Lonchura striata: one gene and its partner. The protein of the gene in region 1 purifies or fractionates together with the protein of each later gene. This does not show direct contact. Links are inferred from orthologs where the notes say so. Each region holds a gene or a part of one and is shown on either strand. Other genes may lie near its edges.

What was found.
Region 2: the proteins of PTPRO (region 1) and SDF2L1 purify together in Homo sapiens (affinity purification with mass spectrometry; 3 studies listed by BioGRID and IntAct, with this or other methods). This does not show direct contact. The link is inferred for Lonchura striata from reciprocal best matches to the Homo sapiens genes PTPRO and SDF2L1.

The regions. Positions count from the first base shown.
Region 1 is NC_134607.1:9,820,111-9,835,402, reverse strand, and holds the start of PTPRO (receptor-type tyrosine-protein phosphatase O), read left to right. Parts: upstream 1-9,427; 5' UTR 9,428-9,462; coding exon 9,463-9,681; intron 9,682-15,292.
Region 2 is NC_134620.1:7,198,300-7,213,182, reverse strand, and holds SDF2L1 (stromal cell-derived factor 2-like protein 1), read right to left. Parts: upstream 6,482-14,883; 5' UTR 6,439-6,481; coding exon 6,255-6,438; intron 5,537-6,254; coding exon 5,340-5,536; intron 4,367-5,339; exon of another isoform or gene 4,143-4,366; coding exon 3,864-4,142; 3' UTR 2,782-3,863; downstream 1-2,781.

The DNA of each region.
Region 1 (15,292 bases):
AAAGTGTGTTGCCATATATAACAGGATCCCGTTTTTCATCTCTGTCAAGTGGAATTACTCTGATGGCAGTGCATTCAGATCCACCTTGCTATTGCAATCATAGTTGTTTCACTCAGTGATGGGACAGAAACTGAAGACTTCTTTCTTTTTTCAACATGGGCTTTCATGGTCAGACATTTGCAACAATACTACTTAAATTTGTGCCTTGGTAATCTGAGCCCCAGCATGAACCTGTGCTGTTCTGCTAATTATTTGTGTGCTACTGGAATATTGGAGCCATCTTAATTTCAAGCTGTCCAAGCTCAGAAAGCTCCTCAAGTTAGAAACAGACCTGAGTGAAATTCCTGGGAGCAAGTATCTAAGGAGACTGGGAGAAGGGTGTATTGTGCTGGCTACATCAGGATGGGTTGAAAATGGGTGTGAATCCCTGTCACAGACAGGTAGAGAAATTCTAAAAGAAAGGTCTCATAAGATCAGGCCTGCTCTGCTAAATTAGTAGCTGGCTTGTCACTTCTAAGTGCAGCTAAGTACTTCGCAAGCTCCCATGCGAAAGCAATCTTGGTATGAGGAGTTTGTTAACACAACAACCAATTCTTAGGGAGAAAAACGACTAGCACCCGCATAAACATTAAATCTGTCCCATGAGAATCAATGAAGAAAATAAGTAAACAATTAAAGAATAGAGAGATTGGGTAGACAAGTAAAATATCTCTTACTAACCAATAGAGTAGTTGGCAAGAAAACTATTAACCAGTTAAAGTTGCACATGAGGCCTGTAAAAACTGTATAAAATGAGTTGTATGAACAAAGATTTGGCTTTTCCTGCATGAAGAAAAGGAGTTAGGTAACTAATTACAACAAATCCCAAAGCTGAAGTATTCTTGAGATGTATGTGAATTATTTTCAGTATCACCCTGAGTGACACCCCGAGTTCTGAAGGCTTTTACCCTGAATAAAGGGTCTTTTCTCCTATAAACTGACCCTCTGGCTTGAGTGGACATTTGTTACAGGAACGTGATGCTCTAACAGAGCAAGCCATTGTCAGGGAGTAGCCACAGCACTTCCCACATTTCTAACTATGAACTCCATTTTTACTTCCTTTGTTGGATACATCATACCTCATGGGCATTACCCTTCATTAGCTGCTTCTGGCTACACCTGGGAGTTAATGTACCTGTGTGCCTTTGGTTTTTGTTGTTTTTTTAGCCCTCTGCGTGTATTTGGGACACGCCATCCAGCAGCCTGAGCAAAGCTTCACATTTAATTACTGCAGCTGAAGCTATTATGCTTGGAAACACATTACCTCTCTCCAAGTCCCCATAATGTCATTCTGATGTGTTCTATGCTATTGATCTACCTCCTGCTTTGTGCAGCTTTCCTGAGCTGACAGACAATGTCAGAGCTGTCTTGTCCAAAAGCATTCTGTTTGCATTCGCAGTTCCCCATTCTCATCCCCATTCCCATCTCCATTCCCAGTTTCCCATTCCCAGTTCCCAATCACATTCACAATTTTCCATTCCACTCCAAGCACTTTGCAAGTGCTGGGCAGGCGTTTGAACAGCTCTGTGGATGCCTGTTTGATGTGTTCCAGGGTTTCATCCTGAGCTAATGCCAAGGTTCTACTCTATGATATGGAAATGCCAAGGTAATTTCATGCTTTGTAAAGCTCTATGAATATTTTTAATTATGACAAAAGCGCCATGGAAATGAAGATTGTTCGGGGTTTCATCGTTGCGTGTAGTTTTGTGTGGCTCTAATTTCATAGCAATTTAGTTCATTTGGCACTTTGAGATTTGTGGGTTGTCTGGAAGCAGAAGAAAGTGAACCCCATATTGGTCATGGGTTTGATAACCTTGGCTAAGCTAATGTGGGCATTCTTTTGCACACTGCTAGCAGTGAGGGATTTTCTAATCTTTTTTTTTTTTTTGCCACCCCTACCTTGTAGACTGATAGTCTCAAGGCTCTGAAGTGCCTCTGAAGTACAGGATTTCCCCATGCTCTTCCAGTAGAATTCAATGCCAGCCTGTAAGGACCATGAGGGTCAGAGCAGAAGACAACGTTAGTTAGTCTTTGTCAGCTCAAACTTTGGGTTCTCTTCAGAACCAGTGGGAGTTTTTCCTTGTCAAATCCTTTCAGCCTTGTAGTAAACTTAGGGCATCAGATGGTTTCCTTTAGGACACAGGAACTGAAGACAGCTCAGGGTCAGCTTTTGCTAACTTCCCCTGACAGCACAGCTACCTGGCTGCCTTGCTCAGCTCTGCTGGCTTTCTTCTCATTTAAGGGCTTGTTCAAGGCATCAGGGTAGGCAGAGCAAACCATGGTCCTGGCATATTTTCACACCTAGCTTTTTCTCTGTGGGCTGTGAAGGATCATTCCTGGAGATGAAAGTCATGTTAGAAGACACAGTTGGCTGCCCAAATATATTAGATTGTTTTCCAAAAAAAACAAGGTGTCCTATGTCTGCTGAAGTAAAACATGCAAATCCTATTAGTGTGAGAGTGTGTTAGCTCATAATTGATGTATTTGACATATTAGTGTGCTAATTTATGTAAACTGGGTAGTCTGTGAAAGATGACAATTGAAAAGGAAAGTGGGCTATATTTAATTAACATTGTGCGAATAGCTGTGTAGTGGGTCTAAAAATTGAGAGGGAATTTTATGGAGATGTCCTAACACTTAAGTTTGAAAAAAAAATTTTTTTTCCCCTACCTACTCTTGGCTGTCTTTCAAGTGGTCTGGAATGAGCCCACATATAATGTACAGGAAGGCAAAAATGAAAAAAATAATCATGCATCATTCTGTTCTTTGTGTTTAACAGTCTTTTTGACCCCTGAGATTTTGAAATGATAAAGATTGAAGTTAAATAATAAACATTTTTGCCTTAGCTGGTAAATCTACAGATTTTCTTGCTATTTCTGTATAATAGGTAAAATTCTCTTAAATCCTGCCAACCCACTTTCTTTGGTGATTAGAATACCTGACTGTGCCAAAAATACATTTGCTGAATCTTCTCTTTTCTCTCTCTCCTTTGAACGAAATCCACCCCCTAGGAAGTAAATTGTTAGTGAATGAAATGGGATTTTTTTCTGAATACATTTACGATTTCAAGCCATTTTCCCCATTCTCACATAGCTGCAGGCCCCCTTTCCACACGGAGTTGCTTTCAAAATTGTTTACTCTGAGTGGCCAGTAATTGGCACAATTAATCAAACGGTGTGACTGATTGCTTTAGTCAGGTCTTGTTGCCTGATTGATCAGCTGGGGTCTTCTGATACTATAAAAACATATCTGAAGTGAAAAGGCTGCTTAGTGATGCCATTTGGGAAATGGCAGTGAAAAGGCACTGGTGTAAGGCATGCATATTTATATTACATATTTATGTTGGGATATAGTACCCCCATGCCATGGAGAGAGAAAAAAAATTCAGCACAGATGCCAGGGAAGAAAAGGATGTTATCTGTGCAAAATTTCAGCTCCTACTGCAAATTTCTTGGGAGAGAAATGTTGTTTCCTGTAACTATGACTCAGATTTCTGTGAATCAATAGAGCCTGTGAGGGTCACAGGAAGTCAGTATATTTCAGAGGTGAAAGGTGCTAAAAGGCTGTGACTGACTGGAGCCCCTTTTATTTATTTTATTTTTTTTTAATAAAAAGCCTGTATGGTTCTGCAATGGAAAGTACAGTGGAATTACTGAGAAATGACCCCCAGAAAGATTTACCCATCTTAAACAGAAAGAAAATAATTTTTTTTCACTTTTTGTCACACTTTTTTTCTACTTACATAGCTTTATAAGTTGCTGAAGACAGTGAGAAATTCCTAACCAGCCTCTTTCCCCAGTCTTTGGCCTGCTTAGATCATTGACAAAAATGGAGAAGCAAGTGGAAGAAAACACTGTGGATGCAATACAAAATAAGAAGAATTAGAAATTGCAGTGTGGTTTATTTTTATTTCTATCAGCCATATCTGCTGACACTGGAGAGAGAACTATAAGAGTAAAAGGGACATTTTGATAACAGACAGGTCTGGTCAAATACTTAATATCTCACTAGAAAAATAAATATATGAATAATTTTTATCTAGAATTATGTTCACAGAACTCAATCTGTTTCTCAGGCATCCTGTAGCATCCAGATACCCTGGGACAGATAAATGAAAGTGAAATACACTGTTTAAATGTTAAATAATCTCATCAGCCTTGTGGGTATGCTTATTCCTTCCCTTCTGGAAAAAAAAAAAAACAACACAAAACCACAAAAACCAACTCAGTGCCTTTCCATACCCCATTTCAGTGCTAAAGGAATGAAACATCAGTCAAAAATCTTTCATATGCTTATTTATGAGGAAGAGATTCAATGTCAAAGACAGATTTGTGACTGCTTTAAAAATGAAAATGACCTTTTGACTGCTTCTCCTGCACTGAAAGACTAATAAGTGTCTGGAAGTTGATCAGGTTGCACATCTGAAGTGTGTCAATCATTCTTGTTAGGAAAAGACAGATTTTTAAAAAAACTGACAGCTTGTTTGTTAGGGGGGCACACTTTTAGAAGTCACAGGGCCCATACTTATCAAACTGAAATCTAAGATAAATTTGCACTTGAACATATAAGTGCCAACCCATGTACATTATTCTAGCCACCCTTTGCACTTGTTTTTGTTATTGTTTTATCCACTGCTGTCATTGAAATGAAATGACTTTAGGTGAGAAGACATTTAAAAAGGATCTGCACTTTATTTTCGTAGGACATTTGTCACTGAAGAATAACTTTGCTTCCAAAACTTCTTGGACCAGGATGACTTTTACTTAGAGTGAGTTTTTTTATAAACCTCTTTTCATGTCATGCTTATCCAGACTTGCGGAGGCCTGTAAACCTTCATATAATTCTGGGTTTATACTACAACTAGGAGTAAAGGCTAATTTACAGCTTTTTTTTTTCTGTAGGCTAGGCAAAGTTGGTATATCTGACAGAATATTGCTCTGGGGTTTTCAGGGATGAAAAGGGAAGAATTTGCCATAAATCTTAAATCAAATCTGTGTAAGGTACCAGCAGGAACATTCATGCAAACATTTGAAACCATGAAACATTTGATTCCTGTTTTTCTTTGATAATCTAGGGTGGTATATGGTAATTAACACTGGTTTAGTTAGGATGATGCATTAAATAGCTGATTAAAGCAAACACCAGTGTTTTAATTAATCAGGCTATTAAATAAAGGTAAAGCTCTAGCACTGTAACTAATACAGCCTTCAAGGGGGTGATGAGTGACCTGAGAAGTTTTTGAAACTGTGTGTTTGATGTGGAGTCCTCCTCTCAAAATGTGAGAGGATTTTCTTTAAACCATTTTTGCCTTCTAGGGCTGTGTCCTGTAATGCCTTGAAATACTTTATCATGTTCCTGCATACTGCACATCAGAATAAACAATAATTATAATCATCATCAGAATAAATAATTCCTGCCCAGCTTTTCCAGTAAATCTAGTGAGTAGAGACAGGACCCTGTATCAAAACACCACATTATGCACCTCTCAATCAGGCTCTAAGTTCTCTGCTTCACTGTGATTCTGCCAGCTGCATTCAGAGAGAACCAAAGTCCCTTAAGGCTGCTCTGACAGGTGCCCACTGCAGCCCAGAGTTTGTCACAGACCAAGAAAAATTAGGATGTCTTTCAATTGGAAGAGATCCCGAAGGAAAAATGAGAGATGTTTGTAACGCAACATGGTCCTGTTATGAATCCATGCTGTAGTGGAGGAGTTGGGCTTCCATAATCCTTGTGGATAGTTTGCAATGCCCCAAAGGATGTTTGATGAGTTCTGGGGAAAGGTGGCAGAGCTCCACAAGTGTCAGATTTATGTGAGTGAAGGGAAGTCTGACATGGACTGAAGGACTCTGTGGCCAGCGAGCTGCTCTGCATTGCAGGAGCTGCACAAGTGCAAAGGTCAGGGCTTTCACTTGTACAGGGCTGCCTTAGTAACTGGGAATGTGTTCCAGCTTCTTCCCTGAAGGTAGAAGGGTCAGAACCCTTCTGACAAGAAGGGTTTCTTCAGGTTTCTGAAATGTAAAGAAAAGGGGAAGGGGGGGAGGGGGGGGGGGAATTTAGTTCAAATCACCAAAATCCCAATATCTGATTCAGAAAAAAACATGTTTGACGCCAGAACAAATGTTCCCCATCTTTCCTGATTTATTTTTATTTTTAAAATTTTTGTCAAATGCTTGTGTGTTTTTCATCCAAATAAATGAAATTCCAGTTGGTGAGGTATCCTGCTGAACACTTCCTTTCCCCCTGGGCCCATGGAGAGGGTTAAAGAGCATCAGTATCTTTTACTAACTTCACAAATTATCCTGTTTCTTCTTCCCTGAGTACAAAAAAGTTATCTCATTGTCTCCATTTTTAAAGCTTTGTTGGTGTATTAATAGACTGGCTGCTTTTATTGTTTAGATTCTAAAAACAAATAAGGGCGACTCTGTTTTTATAGATCTTATTTTTCCCTCTGCTCTGTATTTTTTTCCTGAAGAATTAGGTTCTATTTACAAACTGGAATCTTCCAAAGCACTGTCCCTTTTTGAAAAAGTTGAGTAATCTTATACCCCCATAACTTAAAGAGGATGCAATCCTTGAGTTCTCTTGGCTGCATTTTCCTCAGCTTCAACAGCCAGATCAGAAAACTTTATTATCTTGCTACTTTATTGAAGGTTTCATTGCAGAAATGTTTCTCAGTTCTTTTAGCTATTTTTCACTCTCTTTGATTCCAATAGTGTTGTCCTGAGGCTAAAATGCTACTAGAATTTTCTACTTTTTGTTTTTCCTTTTAAATATCTTTGATCTTTAGCCTTGCTTATGCCATCATCATTTTAATGTCTAAATGTTTGTAAATACTGGAGAAGAAAGAAGCATAAAATACAGTCCTAAGGACAAAAATAATTTAAGTTCAATTTACTTAATAAACAAGAGGTTCCCAGCCTAAAGTTCCATCTGCAGCTTTCAAATACTGGCAAAATTTTGGTTTCCTAAAGAAATTCACATCTTTGTCTTTCAGATAACCTCTCTTCATCCTAAACATGAATACTGAAGGAAATTTAGCTATGATTAACCCCTTGTATACCAGTTTCAGATAATGCCTCAAACACTAACAGAGTAGTGAATACCCAAGAGAAGTCTGTGTCCTTCACTGATAGCATTGAGTACATCTTTAATGCCCACAGCTTCTTATAAATGAACATGTGGATAACATTTGCCTTTTGGATTTCTATATTTAGGCTTTGTGCCAATGTCTACACAGGACCCGTATTTCTCTTTCGCTTTCTGGATTAATCCCCATCAAGTATTGCAAATCTTTGCTCAAGGGCCCATTTCAGCACATCCCTCTCTGGCTTTGGCCACTTTGAAATCAAGCTTTTGTTGACTGAGTGTCCAAATTATAAGAAAATCAAAAATATGCCATGTATAAGCTGGGCAGGTCTCTGAAACACAGATTCATTATTGTCCAATTTAGCAGTGCTGTTAGAAAAAAGCTTTGTAATTGTTTGATTTAAAGGACGTTCCCATGAGACTGTGATAGAGTTCATCTTGCCTAAATGATTTAGAAAATCTGAAAACCATCCCAGGATCTACTTTTAGCCACTACTTTATTTTTTGAAGGAAGAGTGAGTGACCCATTACTCTAAGTAATGGCAGTACACCTAGACCCAAAGTTGCTCTGAACAGACACAGCTGTTTATTACACTGGCAATTATATTTTGTTTTTGTTATAGCTCTGGTAGTGTTACCAAAGATACATCCTAATTTATACTGGTGTGAGTGAGAGTGTGGTTTGTGACAAAAGGGATTCTGAGGTAGTTTCTTGTGAGAACCCCAGCCTTGCTCTGGGGTCTCATATGGTGGTGAAATTCCTCCTCCAACCTGTGCTTCCAAAGAAAAACTCCGCAGTCTCTTGTTGTTCCGTCTCAAGATGATTTATTGCTAGTTATCTAACAGATTATGTTATTGGGCTGTGGCTGTTTGGTCAGCGGCCTGGGCAGAGGCACACACACACACCCTGACATCCTCTCTATCTGCTGTCTTCTTCTTCTCTCTCCCCACCCAGGGCTGCTGCTATCTTTTATATGATATATTACGTATTACATGTTTATAGTTTTCCCCCAATACCTACTATCTATATTACAAAGTGCTTTTCTACTCTAAACCAATCTGTGAGTGCCAACATCACCAAGAACATGGAGGTAAGGAAGAAGAAGGAGGAAGAACAGGATCAGCCCACTTTCCTCCATCTTAGAACTTCTGACCCCCATGTACAAAGTAAAAACCCCCTTGTACATGTGCTAAAAGCCCCCTGTACAATACTAAAAAAATTTCCCCTCTACTTTGTAATTACTTTTACTATACTATCTAACCTTTTGTGACTGCTTGTTCCACCTCCAAAGTTGGTAACTCATTCCATGACTCAAAATCACAGCTGTTTTTCAGCTGTCTGCCAGGGTCTAGAATGCCTCTGACCAAGGCCTGGAACCTCTAAAAATGTCTGAGAGACATTTTGAGTTCCCACAGTTTCTCACTTTGGAAAGACTGTTTTCATCGTGGTGGTTGAATGGGGAAGGTCTTTAAGTCCTTTGGGATTTTGTTTTGGCTCCTCAAAGTGTGGTTTTTTTTTTTTTGGTTTTTTTTTTTTGTTTGTTTGTTTTTGTTTTTTTTTTCTCAGAGAAAATCATCTTAAGCAAGACTCTTGCTAAGAGTGTTTGGAGATGGCTTTGATTAATCTGCAGGCTCGCTGGGTGGGATGTGGGGGGAAGACAGAACAGGGGAGGTGACCTGAGTTCTCTCAGTACCCCTCGCATCCCTGGTATCCCCGAGTATCTTGTGGGACAGAATGAGGTCTCCAGTCTCCATCCCTTGCAGGTTCAGCCCTGTACCTTGAACATTTGAAGAGCTGTCCAGACGAGCACAGCCACAGGGACTTTGTGGGTACTAGCTCCTGCAGCTGTAGCTCCTGCAGCCTCCTCCCAGTGCCGCTCCGGCCGCTCCTTGCCCTGCCCCACCAGACACCCGCGGATGCTGGCGGCATCTCTGTGCCCCGATCGCGGCAGGAAAGCAGTAGCTGGGGAAGGGCTGGTGGGTGAGCGGCGGTCAGGATGGCTTTTTGTGCTTCCTCCCAGCGGGGAGCAGCTGCTGTGACAAAGGGGTCCGGGGGCAGGGCGGTGCGGGCCCGAGGGCGGCTCCCGGCTCCATCTCCCACCTCCCAGCCCTCGCCTTCCGCCGGGGGCTGCTGCCACTCCCGATCGCCCAAACTCCTGGGAGGGGAGACAGCACCCGCCGTCGCCTCCTCTTCCTTCTCCTCCTCCTCCTCCTCCTCCTCCTCCTCCTCCTCCTCCTCCTCCCGTCCTCTCCCCGCCGCAAACCCCAAATAAAAGGGGCGGGGGGCAGCAGGATGCGCCGCTCCGAGGGGAGGCCGGCGCCGCTGCCGGCCGCCTGATGCTGCCGCAATTCGCCATTGCCGGGCACGGCTCGGAGCCGAGCGGAGGGAGGCGGGGGGCAGAGCCGGGGGTCCCGGGGGCACAGGAGCAGCAGGCGCCCCTGCCCAGCCACCCCCGCAGGCCGAGGCCGCCGCCGTCCTCCCCGATGCCCGACCGCCGCCGGCGGGGGGCCCCGGGGGCCCGCTCTTGTCTCCTCTGGCTCTTTGTGTTGCTGAAGGTAAGTGCCAGGGAAGGGGAGGGCTACGCACCCCCTCCCGCGGGCCCCGAGCATCCTCCGCGCCGCCTTTGTGTGCCCGCTCCGCTTTGTGCCCCGCGGGAGCAGCCCGGGGCGGGATGCGCCGCCTCTGCCTCCCGCATCCCGCCGAAAGCGGCGGCAGCCCCGGGGAGCGGCACCGAGCCCTCTGCCCGCTGCCGGTGCCGGGGAGGGCGAGCGGCGTTTTGGGGAGCGCTGCGCTGTCCTTCAGCACCGCCCGTGCCCGGCCGCTCCCTCCGAGCGCTCGCACCTTCATCCCGGCGGACCCCGCTGATGGAGATGCCGCTAACAAAGGGGAGGATGCTGGATGGTGCTGGGTTTATCGTGGCACAGCTGAGCAGTTCTGTGTTTCGAGCTCAGCCTGTCTTCTCGGCGGATTCATTTTTCAAAGTTCTGCCTCATACCGCAAGCTTGGTTTCATATGGCGTTTCACATGGCGTTTCTCATCTTTACGCTTTAGCTCATGTCATGGTTTCTTAGGTGTATTTAATATGCTTCGTGTAACTTCTAAAAGAAAATGTATGTGCTGCCCAAGTGAATACTGCTGGGTGTAAATGTCATTGCCCTAAAGAACAGCGCTCAGCACTGCTAAAAACTTTGTTGTATATTTGTCAGTCACTGTTAAGCAGAGCTCTGCGACTAAGGACCTGACCTTTCAGAGCCTTATAAATGTAAATGTTCTATGGAAATCATCAGGACTCCCTATGTGAGTAAGAGTTTGCAGGATCATGTCCTGGAACAGCAGTGGTGTTGCTTCTAAAATTGACATTGCATTGACAGAACTATTTAAGGGAAGCTTTCACAGCATTTGTTCACATAGAGTAATCAACTGATAACAGTCTCATTTTCATAACTGCTGAAACATACATTTATGCAAGATAAAATGCTAATAGACAGACAAAATTTTTTCCATGGACTGTGGTCATTTAAAAAAAAAAAAGTATGCTATGGCCCAGTAGAAAGAGAAAGTTTATAGTTTTTTCATAAACATACAAGTGCACACAGTTTTAAGTAGCTGGTTTATCCCACAATCAGGGAATGTACATTATTCTATGTCCTAGCGGGTTGTGGTTTTTTTGTTTGTTTTTTTTTTAAGTTAAGGTGTTTACGTACTGTTTTTTTTTTTTTTTTTTTTTTTTTTACTATCATTGTTGTGGTAAAGCGTGACAGAAAATAGGTAATTTAAATCTGTATTAAATGAATAGTAAATCTGAAGTAACTGGATAAGGTATGAAGGTAGCCAAGGGCCCAGGTTGTCATTTTGTTGGGAAATAACCATCATTCCCCAGCTGAGTAAACCTGGGACTGGGAGGACAAAGAAAGCTGATGAGCATTAGCAGAATTTTGTAGAGTGAGAGAAGGTTAAGCTGCATCTTCAGATAGAGGTGCATCAGTATCTCCCTGTATGACTGGATTATGACTTTCATTGGATAGTAAGGCCACTGTAATTAGTTATCTTTGTATTGGTATTGAACACTACAGTAAAAGAAATGAGATTTGGAGTGATAGTCAAAGTAAATCTGGTTACAGGAGAGAAATTGGAGAAGTAAAAACAGTGTTTGTTTTAGATCACCACAAGAGGACCATTTTCCTGAGCCTGAAATTCACTGAATATTCTTCAAAATCTGTGTAATTATTTTCAGTGACATATAATTAAAAAGAACTCATTTCAAAACAAGGCTTTTCCCCAGTTTTGTTCTGTTTAGTTCTACCAACCTGTTGAAACAATATTAAGATTAACCAGACTTGATTTATTAAATTGGTGCTTCACCTGGAAGTTAATCTCATTGAGAAAGCAGTGGCATTGATCTGATGAATCCGAAGACAGGCAAAACTGATGTCTGTGTGCTTGCTGTTTCAGTGTTAGCAGCCCAAATGTCACTTGCTAAGCTGAATCTGCTTGATGTGGCCTTGATGCCCATCTGGCAACTTGTAAAATCATCAGCAGACTTTGCAAAGTGATAAAGCTGCTCAAAGCACATTTTCTCCTCTCTTCTCTTGTCTTCCAATTTTCAATATTTCATGGTGTGAAGTAATAGTGCCAGTTTATTCCAACTCCTTATACTCTCTGAGGCTGCTGGGTCAGTGACAAGAGGAGATCAAACAGGAACATTGCCCACTGCATGCCATGTGCCTGATTCAGTTGCCCATGGGCTAGTAAGGTTTAGTTCCTTCTTTAACAGCGTGATGTGGATGCTTTCTGTGCCCCAGGGTAGGAGCATAGTGTTAATTTTGGAAATACCACAATGTGATCTTAAACCTTTACCATTCTCATTCTTTAGCATTTTTTTTTATGTGATGGCTAATTTAGAAATTAGCAGAAGAAAGGCATTGTGTGCAAGCTCAGACACCAGGATGGATTCACAGTACTTGGAAGAGGAGCAGGGCTGTGGGTTTTGCTTCAGAGAAGACTCCAACCTTGCTGCTGTAGGAATCTCTTAAAATATTGCCATTTTGCAGTGGGTCTGTGTTCTCTGTTAGTTTGTTTCAGTCAGAATGGCTGGAAGGCAGAGTCTTCAGCAACTTGCTCTGTAATCATCTCATTTTGGCATGGCAAAGGCAGGGCTGAGCACAGCCCAAAGGAAAAGCTGTACTTCAGCTAAATAAATAAGAATAAAAAGTAGACACATTCCCTCATTCCAGTGACTGATGTAAGTTTCTCATATTTTCTAACTGCAACCTAGAAACCTTCCCTTAGTCATAACTGCACTGAGCTCTGGCCAGCTGAAGTTCTGCTCTGGATCATGTCCCTGATGTGTCAGATATCCCACATTGTTGGTGGCTTGCACCTGGGAGCTTTAAGGTTGCTTTGTTGAATTATTTCTGGGGTAGACGGTAAAGCTTAATTAGAAAACAAAAGCATCTTGAACAAGCCAAACCTGGTGCTGGGACATGGTTTACAAGCTGTTCCACCTCCAAGTTGTTCTAAGAAAGCCTCTCAGTAGGAAAATAATGAGAAAACTGGTTGTCACATTGCTTCCATGTCTGGGCTAAGTAGCAGTCATGACACTCTTCAGAAAAATTTTCTATAAGTAAAATAATGCATCTCTTATTTCCAGGAGATTGAGGTCTTTGTATATCATATGCTCTTCATTTAAATCAGCACCACCCTCTTTCTTTCTCTTAGGAAGGACAACGTCTTGTGTCTATCAGGGTAGAATTTTGTCCAATACTGCATCAGTTTTTGTAGTTCATAGTGAACTCTCAACTCATTTTTACACGGGCCAATATATTCAAAGAGGCTGAGATTCTGTAAGACTTTACTCAACCTTACCCAGCAAAGGAAATCTGTTTCTACTGGTGTACTTTTCAGGTATATATACATTTTCAATTAATAATCTGAAGTAAAAGCCTTACCATTAGGGTGCTGCCTTTTTCTGCAGGAAAAACCTTTTTAAGAGGGAGGCTGATTTCACAGCTGAGAGCCCCAGTGTGTGTCACTGCTGTTTCCTCCTGCTGGGAAAAGCAATGAACACATAATTTGAATTTTGTTATGGAATCCTTTTGGCATCTCTTCTCTCTCCAAGAGATGGCAGCTGAAGCTCTGGTTGAGACAAGTTTGTCTTCTTTCCTCATGGTCATGTTCTGCTAGTGTCAAAATAAAATAAAGAAAGACCCAAACCTACACTTCCAGCTCATTTTTGTTTGCAAAACAAATGTAAGGGATCCTCATGATGGGACAGGCCCAGAGGTAAAAGTCTTTTCTTCCTACCACTGCTCTGGGACTGTCCAGCCTGTATGGGAGAGAAAAGCATCCTCTCAGGAAAAGCAAATACTTTTCTTTTTTAAAAAACTAATTACAAACAGTCACCCTCAGCTCAAAACTACTACAAATCATGTTGTCTCTTATATCTTCATTTTCATGGATAATATCTAGATCAGGGTCATTCTGGAGGGCAAAGCCAAAGAAGAGGATGCTTGTGCCAAGTCATGTTTACGGAACTGCAGCAGGCACTTACAAACCCCTCTCTGCCAGTGAAATAAGAGTCTTCCATTACCCTTTGGCAGACTTCCTTGTGATGAAATGACAGTGGACCATTGAGAAAAGATCTTTCATGTCTGCAGGAGTTATGAGCCCCAGACTCAGATTGCACAGGGTCAGTAAGGCAATTTCTAGGTTGTATCACCTGGGTCAGAAGCTGCAGTCAAGGGTGATCCCTCATCCAGGCTGAGATGGGCTGTGCTGAGAACAGGCTTACCTGTGGTGATCCATGGCAATTCATTAAAGGGCTCCTGGGAAGTGCTGACTGAACTTGAGAATCCCACTAATCTCTACATTTCTGCTGTCACCACACAGAGCAATCCAGGCAGATCATGAAATGACCTTACAGAGCTTCAGATTGTATGCTAAACTGAACAGAGCCTTGTGTAAATCCATTTTGAGACTTATTTTACCAGACAGTCTCAGCTCTAGGGAAGGGAGCATTTTTTTTACTTAGGCATATGAGTCAGGACAATAAATGTCAAAAAATAAACCTTTGGAAGCAGGTATCTTTGCTGAAGAACTTAAAAGATTCATAGCTAACTTTGATTCTAAGTGTTCTTTAAAATTATTTGCCTTTTTCATTGGAGAAGTATGCATTGTCATCCTGAGCAGTCTTCTAGTAAATTAGTGATTCCATTTTTTTTTACTCAGGGTTTTAAAGATTCTCTTCTTGAGGCAAAACTTAGTTGTTTGCAACGTGAAGAAAAAAACAACTTTAATAAATATTAAGAATATTCTGAAATTAAAATCTTTACACAGACTTGAGTACCTACAAGTGCAGTAATATAAATTAAGAGACTGGTTTATTAGATGTTTCACATAAGAGTTGTAACTTCCTGGGTTTTTTCCTTACTAAATTTCTGTCGATGTAGAATTGAAAAGGGGAAAAACTTTGAGATAAATGTGGCAGCATATGCTAGCTGCCACATATGGAGTATAACAGATGAATAGAGAATGGGAAATACTGGAAACAGAAAGGTTACCTTGCTTTTCTCAGCACTCTGCAATCTCAAATGAATGGCAGCCAGTGAAGGGAGCAATTCCTAGGGAAGGAGTTTGCCATCTTTACAGCAAGCCAAACATGATGCATTGCATTTCTGGAACCCCCTTATTCTTGTGCTGGGAAATTACGGTGGCTTTTAGAGGGAGTTCCAGAAATAAAATTATATGCATGGTGTCTGGCTTGCCATAAAGATAGCACTTTGTATCAGGGCTGTGATGGAATGAGTGTGGCAAGCTCTGCAGTCTCCCTTCTTGATGAATGCAGGTATTTAGGGAAGAAATGCTTTACAGTAAGTGTGGGTGATAGAAAAGTTGGTGTCATAGCTGACAGCACCAGGGAAGAGAGTTAGCAGAAGTTTTAAGCTTAAGTATGCTGGTCTTGAGGTGATAGCATGGACATGAGAAGAAAATATGTGAGATATTTGAACAGGTAACATAATATTGGGGGTGGCAAAATGTGAGCATGGTATTTAAGCACAAGCATTGAGCAGTTCAGAGGAGCTGAACAGAGATAATGGAAATAAACAACTCTGAGATATTATTCTATTTCAGCCCAGAGATTTAATATGAGGTAGCTGTTTGTAGATA
Region 2 (14,883 bases), on another chromosome or scaffold:
GATAAAATTGCAAAACCAAAAGGGCACAGATGCAAACTCAAAACTAGGAAAGAGGGGCAATAGCATTAGACACCCTACAAACACAAATCTCTGATAGGCTCTCTGACAGTTCTCAGCTGCCAGCAGGGAATTTGGCAAAGAGCTAGCAAGGATGCCAAGGGAGTCAGACACCAGCAGGATGCTGCTGCTGAAGAAGACACTGCTACAGTTCAGCCTTTGTCTAGGCCAGGTGTGAAATGTGGTGCATCTGCAGTGCCAGCTACTGCTTCAGTGCTGGGGAAGGCAGGCAGAAGACAAGAGAAGATATAGCAAAACTAACAGGCTTAGAAATACTGCTGAGTGAGAGTCATTGTTACAGGCTTGCTTTGTATTTTTTTCCTCTTTAAAATGATATGATAATTTAACCTAATAAGAACAGATATACCCAATTAGTATTCCTAAACACAATAAATTAAATTATGATTATACCATTTAAATATAATCACTGGTTTATATTTAGCCTCAAGATTCAGAATGAAGAATCAGTAAGCAACACAGCCCTTCCAGAACACTGGAAGAACTAAACCCAGGTTTCATTCATCCTGACTAAAAAGTCAAAATGTGTGGCAAGTGTTCATATGCAGGGCAGTTGTACAGAGCTTTAAAGAATTTCCAGAAACAGAGTAAAAATGTCTGTAGGCACACACCTCCAAAATTAACATATCTAAGAAACTCTGTCATTTCATATTGAACTAGATATAGATATATGTGTAAAATGCACTATTGACAGATTTCAAAGACTGACTAGCAACTATTCCCGCTGAGAACAATTACAAATACAGAGCCTTCTAATTCATTCCCCAAAAGCCTTTCTGGTTTCTTAAAGGAGGAGTACAAAGTAACATTGGTGCAGCTTTTCAGAGTTCTTGTAGTAAAAAAAGTGAGAAACAGGTAAGCAACTGTCAGTTATTTGAAAGAATTATTTCCTGCTAGCATCAGAAGTCAAAACCGATAGGTTTCATTTAACTTTTCAAGGTTAAATACATTTTATACCGCCTATCAAAATTCTCTGTATCACTTTAAAATAAAGAAAAATAAATAAAACAGAATTCCCAATTTTTATAGCTACATTTCATGTTTTACCCTAGAGCCCCAAGAGCTTTAGGCAGATAATAAATTCATATGGAAAACAAACACCACCATACAGCAATACAGAAACAGATTCTCCAAGTGTCTAATCCTTACTCATGGGGGCAAGACTAAAAGTTGAATTATGAGCAGACAAAGTAAATAAAAATACCTGATTCACACTCTGAAATCTCAGTGCTTGCACATGACCACAAGCCATCATTTTTCACAGCTATAATTATTGTACTTGCTACATTAACATGACTTTTGTAGCCAGAATTCAGCATGCTAGGAGTACCAGTAGTTCTTGGAGTACTGTATTACATCTTTCCAAAGTAACATGTATTTCAACCAGCCTTATTTGAGAGTCCTTCAGGCAACCACTTACAGTGATAAAAATTGGGGAAAATATCCCAACTAAACAAAATGCCCCCAACTATTGTGACATATTCCCAAGCGAAATATAAGGGCTAAGTCACTTATGCACTTTGGTCAGAATCAGAAGTGGAAGAAACAGTACACAGGGATATTGTTGAACATGTCTTTAAATAAGGCATTCAAGGGTATATTTGTGTGTGGCAGCTTGGTTTAGGAACAAAAGGTGCAAATATTTTTCAGAACAGAACATAATAAACTAAGCAATAAAGGCTAAAAGTTTTTTCACACCCTCACCAAATGAATTTGGTTCAAATCCAGAACAGAAAGTCAAAGGTCCAGTGAAATCCCACTCAAGCATAATAAATAAGACTGAAAACCACCTTTGCCAAGGACAGAAACATCCAGGCACATACAATCATTGGGTGGGGATTTTACCTGGCACACAGACCAAGATGAGCCCCACAGCTCTACCCCTTCTCAGCCAGTTTAGTATTCCACAGGTGCACAAACACTAAGCCCATATGGTGTAGGCACAAAGCCTTTTAGCTCTTAGTGAACTTAGAGAACTCATTGCCAAAACTATTTCTTCCTCCTGTCAAGTGCCATCACATTTTTTGTGCTTATGTGTAGACCGTTCAAAAGAAAAGCTCTCCTTAAAAAGGGAAAATCTTGTTTATGCAGGTTTGGTTTGTTTTTAAATAATTATCCTTTTATAACTATAACCTCAATACCAATTAGTCAGGAGTATCAGTGAACCTGAAATATTAATCACCGGAAAGTTTACTTCTAATACAAAACAGCAAAAGCCAGTCTATTTAATCTCCAAAATGCCTGCAATCCTTACATTGCCTTGCAATCCCAAATACATACATGCAAGTAAAATTACTAAAAAAATGTTCTTACCTTTTCCTTTGAAGAAAAATAGCAAGGTACACCAGAAATGCTGTCACAGAAGTTCCTTGTTCCATAGGGCTTGGACAGATCTTCCCTAGCAGGATATCCTTAAATAAAGCCTGGAGCCAGCCTGGGCTGGACTCCTGCATGAAGTGCACAGAGCAGCCCGGTGGATTTGTAAAGCTGAACTCAAGTGCCTACTGCACCCTCTCAACATAACACCAACACTGCAGCTCCTGACTGGAGCTGTAAGAGCAGCAAATCAGTTTCCTGCTTCTTTGACTGATTGACTAATGAGCACAGTAATCAGTAAACTATTTACACATGGAAACAAGAACACCTGAATGTTCTGACTTTTCTCGCTCATTCAGTGAGCTTTTCAATTTGATACAGAATCACAAATACATGGTATTTTGAATTTTAATCAATATTTCCAGTAACACTGTGTAAAAAATGCGAAGAATTAATTTATTTTCAGAGAGGAACACAGAAATTCTTAACTTGTTCAGTGAAGATTCCTTGCTAACACTCCAGTGCATACCACTCTGTCAGAAATCCATGACCAAACCATTGTCTCAGATTTTTTTTGCTCTTCTGGATTCACACATAAAAAAGCCCACATAGGTGTATGCCTCACTATTTATTCACTTGGATTGTCATATTGATCTTGTAGAGTGACACAGAAGCCAAATTTAACCGTTCCTTTACACCATAAGAAACTCTGTAGAATTCTAATATTAATTAAGCAAGCAGCAGTTTTCTGCACCTGTTCATAGAGCAGAGCAGCCTTACCAATGGACAATCAGCTGTACCATCACTACTAGAACAACTGAATTTCTTGGACAAAGTACAACTATTAAAATTTTGTCTTCTTACTCCAACATACACTATATTTTCAAGTCTTCTAATACAATACAGAATTAAACTCTCGTAAGACATTGGATGCAATTTTCAAATGGATACTTTTTTAACTCAAAGACTGAATAGCTGAGTAAGTCATTCAAAAAACACCATATTTCAGAACAATTGTTCCATTTCTACTCAATCCATCTCCTCATCAATAACATTCTTTCACTAGGATGTAGAAATCAGTTTCTAAATATTTAATTACAGCTGGAAAAAGATTACAAAATACAAAGATTTATTGTACTTGAGACTAGAGAAAAGTATTACTTTCATTTTTTCATTTTCTTTGAATTCGAGAAAAAGTAACAAGCAAACAAATGACAACAAAACCTAACAGATGTATGAACTAGTTTCACCAATAAAGCTTGGAAATTCAGAAAGGACTTCACCAAATAAATGTCAGTGGCTGAACCTGGCAGAAGCCATTCCCCACAGAAGTGCTGCATTCCTAGAATGAACTAATGCCCTTCAGTAACACAGAAAATCAGTTACTTAGGCAAGGCAGGACTTAGAAGAAACCAAGGATTAGCATCTCCAAACATTGGAGTCAAACGAAGCATTTTGGATCCCGTGTCAATTCAGAGCTCATCATGTTTTGCAGGGTCCAGACTGGGTTTGATGAAGACTCCCTCCATGGCTTTCCAATAGTTGTGGTGGTTGGCAGCAGGCATGCCATGAACTTCCCGCTGGCCTCTAATGGGGTGGCCGTACTGCTCCCCCGTGATGGACAGGAACACCTCAGTCCCCACGTGCTTGAAGCGCACGGCATCCTCCCGCTCCCAGTAAGTCCCACTGCACTGCACAATCCAGAAATCCAGGTCATCTCCTTCGCCATCATCCCCAAAGGCACTTACTTCCTGTTAGAGACACAAGCTTCCTGAAGTGAAAGTGTAAGCAAACACCTCCAGGACACACAGACATCAACCACAGACTCAGCAGAGATCAAAGACAAGGATGGGGAAAGAAATGCTGTTGTTTTGCTTTGTCAACAATTACCTAAGCCAGAAGCAGTAAGGTTCTACCAGACAATCTGAACACAAAGTGCCAACAAACTCCAACCTGTTCTCTGAGCAAAAAGTACTGGAAAAACTCTAAATAAATCAAAACCCCACAATGACAGTTGAATATTCTTACCTTAATGACAAGATACAAAGTGTCTACACTGAAAAATGAAACCCAGACGAAGGTTTCAGAGTAAAATTTCCCTTAAAGAATTCTTTTGAAATGTTATTTTTCCATCACTTTTAATCATCAGATTATCAAGATACCCTACACAGAGCTGAACCTTATTGCTTCAGCCACTTTACTCATGGTGGAAGAAAAATTATTCCACAAAGAGTCACATCGTCCAAGTTTCAATGTAACAACCTATCTACACAGCCTGATGGAAGACTGACATGACTAATAACAAAAATCTTCCAACAACTGCATTATTTACAATAGATCTTCCATCCTGGAGAGGTATTTGTTCTGGGGCTGAATTATGGTTAGAAATTACACTCTTTTAGATAGGTACAAAACTGTATTTAAGTATGATTACAAGAGCAGTTCAGTTTTCCTGTGGAAGGAGGACAGAAAAATACGAACAGTGTAACGAAATAGAGATAGCAAGAAGACAAATGAGATTAACAGACTGGATCACCAAGGAACATGGACATAGGAATGCCTAATGTTATAACACATGACTAGTTGCCTGGCTCTAGAGCAATCTTCACAATGTTGAGAGAGGTACTCAATCACCTGCATCTAAAAAACATCCGACATTTCAGAACAGCCTTCCCAGCAGCAACAGTGCAGAAAAAGAAAAAAAAGCAGATTTGTTAAAAGTACTGTGAAATACCAATGCTGGCACATACTGTACTGCCTCTGTCAAGAACTGAAATACATCATTTTAAGATGCAGAAAAACCTATACTTGAATCTGGATATGCACAGACATACTGCTGCTGGTAGCTGGTACTCAAGTCTGAGTCTCCAAAAACCCAAGTAACTGGAGAGACTATTGTCAATAGCATGCACTACTTGTACAAAAGCTTAAGATTTAAACCAACTCACTTGGTTATTGGAGAGTGGTGATGGGAAGTGATGAGTGTGCAGATTTTTCCCAGTGTTAACGTGGGTAAGTCGTATGGCTTGCCCACATTTCACAGGTGTCCCACGCTGGCAACTGTTGTCACTCTTCCCACGGATCCGCCAGTAGCTGTTGGCATCATCTGAAGCTTCAACTCCTGTCACTGACTGCTGCCCACTTCCTGTTTGAATAGAATTAAATGACACAAGACTTATCCCGCCTCCCCAGTTCAAAAAGACACGAGAAAACTACAGAAGTTTGCTTCAATGTTGTCATGCCTTCATGTTTACGAGTGCTTAATTCTCACAGTCCATTTACTGACTGCAAAAGGAACGCAGGTACCAAATCATCTTTCAGATGGATGCAGTGAAACACAGCATGTGTTAGCAGATGCAAACTGTCAAAGTTCATGGTGAACGCAAGAAAAAAATCCTATCCATGACAGGTACTATTCACACCATCCCACCTTTATCAAAAATACTATCAAGGTCTTCATGTTCCCCAACAGACCAGCACCCTCGTTGTCAGAACAGACACTGGAAGGTACTGCTGAAGGCCTTGACACTGAGCAGGGGACGAGGGCAAAGCAGCCCTGTCACATCCCGACTCCAGGGCCCAGAAAGCAGCTGACACATCTTCCTATCCCACAGGCCTCAGCATCCCTCTGTCTCTGTCGTGTCTCCAGCCCAGCCCTAAACCCCAACCGCGGCCTGCCACTTCCCTCTGCACCAAGGATATCAACCTCGGGAAAACCCAACTTCCTCCACCTTCCCCACAACCCTCACTGCCTGCCCACCCCCGCCATTTCCCTGTCAGGCACCACCTGTCCCCCCCGCTTCCTCGGCCCCTCACAGCCCGTGCCCCGCCATTTTCCAGCTCCGCGGCCAGGCCCTGCTCACCGGAGCCGTACTTGACCTCGTGCGAGTGGAGCCGTACGCTGTGGCGGGTGTTGAGCAGCTTCAGCACCGAGCCGCAAGTCACGGCGCCCGGCGCCGGCTCCCTGCCATGGCACAGCCCGGGCAGCAGCGCCAGGAGCAGCAGCGCCAGGAGCAGCAGCGGGAAGAGGCGGCGGCCACCCCGCATCGCGGCGCACCCGGCCGGCCCCGCCGGCCCCTCAGCCCCGCCGCCACCGCCGCCCTCAGAGCGGCGCTTCCGCTCCCCCGCGCGGGCCCAGCGACCGCCCTGCCCACCGCCGCGCTCAGCCAATCCCCGCCCGCCGCCCGCCCCGCCGCGCGCTCTCATTGGGCTATAGCGAACCGGCAAGGCGGGAACTAGCCAATCAGAGAGCGCGGCGTGGCGCCCCCCCCCCTCCCTCCCTCGGGTGAGGACGCGAAGGAGAACTGCGGGCGCTGCTCCCTCACGGGGCTGTGCTGAGCCTTCGGCCCCGGGCCCCGAGCGGCGCCACCCCCGGCGAGGTGCCAGCCCCGGCGAGGTGCCACCCCCGGCGAGGCGCCACCCCCGGCGAGGTGCCACCCCCGGCGAGGTGTCACCCCCGGAGAGGCGCCACCCCCGGAGAGGTGCCACCCCCGGAGAGGTGCCAGCCCCGGCGAGGTGCCACCCCCGGCGAGGTGTCACCCCCGGCGAGGTGCCACCCCCGGCGAGGTGCCACCCCCGGAGAGGTGTCACCCACGGAGAGGTGTCACCCACGGAGAGGTGTCGCCTCCGGCGAGGTGTCACCCCCGTAGAGGTGTCACCCACGGAGAGGTGTCACCCACGGAGAGGTGTCGCCTCCGGCTGCTGGGCACCCCCGGGACAGCGCTGGCACCACTCTGCAGTTTGCCCTTGCTGAGAACGTAGGAGGAGAGGCCAGGTCTGTCACTGCCACTGTCTGTCACTCGTCTAACGTGGTCTGGGCTGTATGAAAAATTACAGCCAGGTCAGGCTGAGGGGTTGTTAAAGGGCCTAGACGGAAAAGGCGCTGTGGGTAGGACCGTTCAGTTATTATCAGAGGAAGGACAAATGTCCTCACAGCGAGAGCAGTGTCAGAGACAGACCGGCTCAGAGTCACAGCCAGGTACGGGCAGTGTTTAGATCCAGCCTCGGGGAGCCGCAGTTGCACTGTCAGGTCAATCAGCCCCTGCTGTTCCATTCAGGCCACTTCTAGCTCAGAGCTGGCAGGCGGCACATTTAGGTCTGCTCCTCCCTGCAGTTCTGCCTCTTAGAATGGAGTAAATATCTAGCCGTTTGGGGGATTTACAGAGAAAAGTAACACAGTGTTGGAAAACAAAGGGAATTCATGTTTGTGAAGTGACTTGGACGATAATGCATTGCAGCTCCAGTAATTTCTGGATTATATTAGAGCTTCTAATTATAGGACATAATATAGTTTCTAATTATAGGGCATAAACACTACACAAAGAAGAACTAGCAATGGTTGCTGTTACATTAAGCTGTAGCAATAACATAACATCTTTGCTTTTGCATCCCAGAATTCACCTTCTGTGCTTCAATCTCTTGCAAAATTCTTATAACTAAGAAATTATTAAGCTCTATTCTGCAGAAAAAACCTGCATAAATTAACATACATACTGTCCTTTATTGCATAGTTTTGCAAACTGAAGAAATACCCCCCAAAAAAACCTCAATAAGAGGTGGCCATTGACAAAGGACACTTGAACTCCTACACAGTTCTTTTACCTCTGAAACTGCTCAGTGGTTTGACCCGTGTACCACATCCCAGCCTTGCGTGAGTCCCATGCAAAACTGTGAGTAATTCAAAGGAATTCAAAAAAGCAAAAGATTTTGATCTTAGTGACAAGGAAACAGGTAGAAGGGCTCCCACCTCGTGACTTACATCTTTGTAATAATGGCATTTTGTCCTTGCAACAGCAAAAAACTAAAACACTGGACTTGATATTACAAGATGATTTAGAAAGCACATTAGTGTTGCTGGGTAGTGCAAACATCATAAGATGCTCAGCTGACTCTCTCTTCCACAAGTGTTAAAGCTGCAAGGTTTTTTCCTGCCCATGTGATACCACTCAATCAAATGGTTAGTTTTTTGTGCTGGCTTTGGCCTGTTTTCCATAGATATACCTACATTTGAGAAAAATCTCTGACTTAGATGCCAGGCCAGCATTACAACAAGCCCAAGTCTTAAACACAGGTCACATATATGCGTATGCACACACAGAGTGTGCTTTCCTCAGGACTTAAAACTCAATTCCTAGTGCTGGAGGTATAAAGCTTTACTCACAGAGAAGCAAAAACTCCCCCACTGATAGTCAAATACCATATTTTTACATCATTCTAAGCAGCCTTACTGTTCTAAGAGAACAACAATCAGTTTCCTGATGTCAGTTTGCAGGAGATGCTTGGCACTGCCAGGGCAGCCCTGATCCTGGGCGGTGGCAGGTTGGGTCTGGGAGCCATCCTGAGCCATTTGGAATTTTGGGAGGGGCAGCCCACTCGGGGTCACAGGCGCCTGGGTGGGGTGCAGGCCCCTGGACACGAATGCTGGCCCTTTTCTGTGGGAAACAAAACTCTCCACCCCAGTTTTGCTTCTGTTTTTATAACTGGGGCAAAACCAGATGTCTGTGGTTGCCATTTTAGCCGTGGAAAATCAATCATATGGGGCTTTAGCTGGCACCTGTCTGTCTTTATGGGAGGTCGCTCAGTCTCAGTGCATTTAGTGCCGTTTACATGGTGCTCCCTACAATGCTTTTCAGTCCCACTTTAGACACATAATTGGGTTAGAACGGTTGCCAACAAAGAACCCATCAATGCCTAACACCCACGGCAATTAACAACCATCTCATTGCCACAGGGCCCTCTATTGTTTCTGGTGGATTGTTGTAAACTCCCGGTAAAATTGCGTCAGGAATTATATGGCTTCACCTTGGTAATGGGGACATCAGCTTTTTTTTGGTAGGAATCTCTTTATGATTCTTGTAAATGTACAGAAACAAAGTAATTCAACAGTGCTGTAAAAGGGGAGGATGTAAAATGTAACCACATCTGTAGCCTTCATCTACTCAAAACACACACGCGCACACACACACCTGCCCCATCCTTATGCATTTTGGAAACTCCTACCATTTCCACTTAGGTGCAGCTGTAGGTTTAACCTGGCCCTCCCTGAGAAAATGATTGAGCAGTGCCAAATGCTTTTAACATGCAGGAATTAAAAATCTGTGGTACAAGAAAATTTCAGAGGGTGTATGCTTACCCAAAGCAACAGATTATAGAAAAATGATATAGTTTTTATATTAGCCTATGTTTAAGATTCTTTAAACTTTCTGTTTGCATGACTGGAGCAGTTATTGACAACTAAGGTAGCAGAGCTGATAACTCCTGGGCATGGTCTATATCCCAAAACACACTGGTGCATCTTTTGGTATAGACAGCCCTTGATTTATGGAGATTATGCAGCAAAACCTGGGCTCTTTCCCAGACCAACACAAACCTTAGGCAAAACAGACAGGGACAGTTCTGAAACCATTAGTACCTGATACAGAAACAAGCCCACATGAGCTCTTGCATTGACTTTTCTCTGCATCTGGTCCCTTCTCTGATGTCAATTAAGGTGAACTGTACTGACCTCAACAGAGTAGCTGAAGACAATAAGGTCTGCAAAGATTGCGTGCTTTTCTTCTGTCTCCTTCTTTCACTTCACATTGTGGAACAGCTGGTTATAAACCTCACTTCAGATGAAACATTTGTCTCTACTGCCATGCCTTACAACAGAGCTCTTCCAACTGTGACCCCTAAGCCTCATACAAACAGTGAACAGGAGTAATAATGATAAAATATGTCACCCAGGGAGAAATCCAAGTGATAAAAAATTTATAGAATTCCATTTTCTTATCACTGAGCCTAAATTGCTTAAGGATTAGATAATCAAAATAATTTACTCAGATTTTTGCATTCAGTAGATATAAACATAATGTAAGAATAAGCAGAGTAAGTAAAAAAGCAGAAGACATTTGACAAAAAGAGTATTAACATACACATACTTTTGTATTTAAATTGAAGATTTTTTCATCTGGGGGAGAAGAGTTGATTAATTGCTGTCTTCTATTTCTGGTCTTTGAGGTAGAGAGGATTGGGAAGTTCTGCAGAGTCCTGGTGATCTGTGTCTGTCACTGTCACCATCTCTCAGCCACTCTCCTGCCTGATGCTGATCCTTCAAGAGCAAGGGATCTCCCCTCAGAACCCCAGAGGAATTAATCTGCATTTCTATTTGATCAACTGAGATTTTTCACATGTTTTCAGTGGTGCTGGGAGGCAACAACACTCACTGTAAGTGATCTGCCAGATAAACTTTCCTGTGTAGTTACACTGTTGAGGTGTTACCAATGTTCGCATTAATTCTTTTCCCCTTAACATAAGGACCTGCCTCTGGTATCTTTGTTTTAATGACTCCTGATCAACATTTGCAATAATCAGGTTCAGGCCTAACTCTGCTTTTGTTTAGACAGTGTAAGTTGAAGCTGAGGAAGTTATTTAGAACTTGTAGGCATGGATTGGAATTGTTGTTTTGATGATTAGCTTCTATTTTAGAATAAAAATGTAAAAATGCCATGTACGTTACATCAGGCAGCTTTTAAAATAATTTAGTTCTTCATGGGATGCTAAATTTCCCAAGCCCTTTCCTAACTTCCTCCCTTCCAAGTTGTGAATCCTCCCTATCCCTACCCCTTTCTCCAGAGAGTTGTGTCTGTCTTGTTGCCCTCGACACCCCGTTTGTTACTTTGTATTATTCCCTCCCCATTTTCCCTGATAGTCTCGCAAGCTATTTACCCCACCTTACACTCCTCCTTTACCTTATCCTCATTAGTTCACTTTCCTACATCCCTACTCCTGAGCTGCTGTATAAAAACTTCTGTTCACCCCCCTCGGCCCCAGTCTTGTCTGGGAGCCCAGGAATAATAAATCCATCTTGTTCCACCCCAAGAGCCGTGCCATCGCTGTGTGTCGCTGCCGGAGCTGCCGATAACTGGGATTGCAGCACTCGCAGGGCACAGCCGCGCCCCCGCCGCAGCCACCCAGCACGCCTCACGCTGCAACAATGGGATTGGAAAAACCTCTAGACATCTGTTTCAGTGGCAGGTAAATATTAATGTAATTCTGAAAATTCCGCAGAACACCTATGCATCTTTTATAATAACTTTCAGAGATGTCAAACTGAATTCCTGATGCAATCAAACAGTTCATGGAATCAGATAGTCTAGGTTTAGTTATTAATGTACACAGTTAAACTGTACCTATTTTGGACCCAACATTTAATTGCCTAGGAGAAATATTCCCCACCTCAACTCTTTTTTGACCAGGTCTCTTTGTATATTTTAATAGACCTCGACATCAGGCAAAGAGGTATCTGGAAAAGGAATGTGCAGGCTTAACATCATCTCAACCCCAGTCAGAAATCACAGATGCTGTAGTTTAGTTCATATTCAATTTTTTTTTTTTTTACCACACATTAGACATGGAAGGAAATGCAGCAGAGAGAAAATAACCCTCTGAAAAAAGGGAGAGTGGATTAAACTTCACCATCCATGAGCCACAGTGTCACCAAGGACCAGAGGCCTGCTAGATGCATCAGGAGGGATTTGAGTTTGGTGTTTTTACCAGTCCTCCATAATTTAATGCCGAGTGTCAAGTTAATAAGAAGGTCACAATGGCAAATTTTGCCTTTCAGGCACTTTGCAAGGACCACACACCTTGCCAGGCATTATTTTGTGCTGGTATAAATTCAGGTATTTCAGACATGGGTGAAGGAAGGTGACAGGTACTGCCTGGCTGTGTCACATGGTAACCAGGGAAGACTTTCGCTCTTAGCAGAGTGAAATCCCCCAGAGTTTGGGGGTTTCAACCCTTTCTAGTGCAGATGGAGGAAGCTGTTCCATGGATGAAAAACTGTAGATTAAGCATTTCTATAGAAGCCACTGAATTTCAAAGATTTACAAAACCTCTGAGGCTGGGACAGAGAACAAAATGTTTCCATCTTTTCATTTTAAAAATGGATTTTATTTTGTCTAATTTCAATGCCTTTTACAGTTTACACTTTCAACAAAATTTCATTCAAGGAAAAGACAAACAAAATCCTACTGTGCTACCATTGTAATCCCACATGAACTAACTAACTGCAGCCAAGGGAACAAGAAAAAGAAAACACATTTTTTATGTCAACATGTAAACAGACGCCTTTTTGGAAGCAGTAATTGTTGGAAAAACCTTTGTGAAATACAGAAAACCTCAACATTTCTACTGATTAACTCAAAGTTCAGGGAAAAGAAATTCAAGCTCAAAAGCAGTGAAGCACTTGAGGATGGTGAAGGCTCCTGCTGGCTTTTGTAGCTGAGGTAGGGCTGTGTTTTGTTTTAGTTAAGCTGGAAGATGCAGCTTCTCCTTAGTCCATGTCCTGGCTTATGCAGCTCCACCAGAAATCCTGGCCAATGTGCTTGTCTTCACTGCAGAGGAAAGACTGTCCAGAGGAAGTCTGCTTTGTCTTTCAGCTCCAGGTTGAATTTTTAAGGGCCTTTCACCTCTGGGCTCTGTGAGGCTCAGCTGCTAGGGTGATCCTGGCAGCCAGCTGTGAGTGCAGGGGGCAGAGGGAGCACTGCTGCTAAAGGGATGTGGCACAGGGGCAAGGTTCGCTTGCTGGGGAGTATTTGCTTCCAGTGGCAGAAAGGACGGCTGGATAAACAGGTATGAAATCAGAAAAGAAAAGCTTCCAGGAAGTGCATTAAATATTTAAGAAGGATGTTACCGTTAATAGCATTAAATGCATACTAAGGTTAAGAAGGCTGAGAAGCCAAGCTTTGTCTAAGATTCTTATGTTGTGCCTCTCACCTGTGCAGAGTCAGGGAGCACTGGCAGTTCTAGAAAGAGGCAAAAAACCCCAGAGTTTGCATTGGCAAAGAGAAGAGGTGCTTATTTTATGATTCATGACATTACTTCAGAATTGTGCTGACTTGAGCTGTTACAGTAACAGCACTCATCAGTAAGTGAAGCCTCTTGGGGAATGTGGGCAGGCTGTGACGTTCATCTCCCAGAAGGGGAAGCAAGTAGCAGGTGCACAAATATCTCCTCTGAAATGCCAAGGGCACTAGAAATCTTTACAGAACATCAAAAAGTTTTCTGTAACAGAGCCACACAACTATCAAATGACAGAAAAGCTCACAGGAATTGCCTGAATGAAGATTTAGCAAGTTGTCTACAGCATTTTAGCATGATGGGTTTTGAATTTCATTTCATATATTTTTTTTTCTAAGAGAAAATGTCACTGAAGAGGCAGAAGGCTGTCTTCCAGCTCTCACAATAATTTTCAGTAGTCATTGCTCATTTACATGAGCAGGGAAGAACAAGAAACAAAAAGAAAGTGACAACAGGTGTCCCCCTCTTGATGCAGCAGAAGTTTCCCATGCTCCCAGTGCTGCCCATTTTGGACCCTATAGGGAGAGCACAGCCTAGGAACCAAATTCTACCATGAACAATATTGCTACCACTCATTCTGATTTTATTCTTTCTCCTTCAAATTATCAAAATAAACTTAAATATTGTCATCCAAAACTTATCATCTGCCCCTCAAATTGCCCTCAGAGTAATGGAAACAAAGTTTTGTAGCAGTTTGCTACGTGGACTGGAATTGATGAGAGCCTACAGATCAACAGGACTGCAACCTACCTCAACTCAGTGATTCCAAATTCCTTGTAGGGAGACAGACCTGGAAAACCACTACTCCCACAGATGTTCATTCCCCCACACAGATGTTTCAAAGTTCAGGTGTGAAAAGGGTGCAATTTCCTCTGCTGAAGTGTGCTTCTGTCTCCAAACTGATGGTCCTTGCTTTGCTGAAGACAGTCAGTCTCTGGCTGTGCCTACAAGTCATGTCCTTGACTTTGGGGCATGGGCATGCTGGCTGTCTTTTAGGAATTGAACTCTGCTGAAAAATGAGACACCTGTAGGCACTGGTTTCTTTATACACAAATTAAGCAGCAGGATTGTCAGTCCATTCCCACAGAAACGACCCTTAAACCCTTTTCCAACCCATTTCACTCCAGCTGCTCTTCCAAGAAGCCAGTGCTTGGCTTGTCAGCTGTTTCTGCACTTACCTCCATGCTGGCACAGGTTCAGAGGTGGAAATCACCATCATCCATGGAAGAGTCCTAGTCCCAGTGTGATCCCTGCTTCCTGGAACAAGTTACAGCAAACACCAAGACAGCTACCCTGGATCCATGGACATGTTACCATGGCACTTTCTGAGCTGCCATTCTCCCTACCTCAAACATGAGTTTGTTGTTTTGGGATAACACTACAGACCAAGAAAGGGGTCATTCTGCTTTGATAGAACTTCATCCTCTTCCACAGGTGAAAAATGCAGGCTAACAGTATCTTCCACTCTCCATTTCAAGCTGAGTACTTAGCACTTTCGCTTTCATTCTGGTAGATCCAGAACAGCTTTTCTGCAGTAAGAAAAAGCAGTTCAGTGCCGGGACAAATAAGATTTTACATGCCGCCTGATGGAGAACTGGCTGACATCCAGCATGTTAAAGCTGCCCTTTGTGAAACTCTCATCTGTTCTCC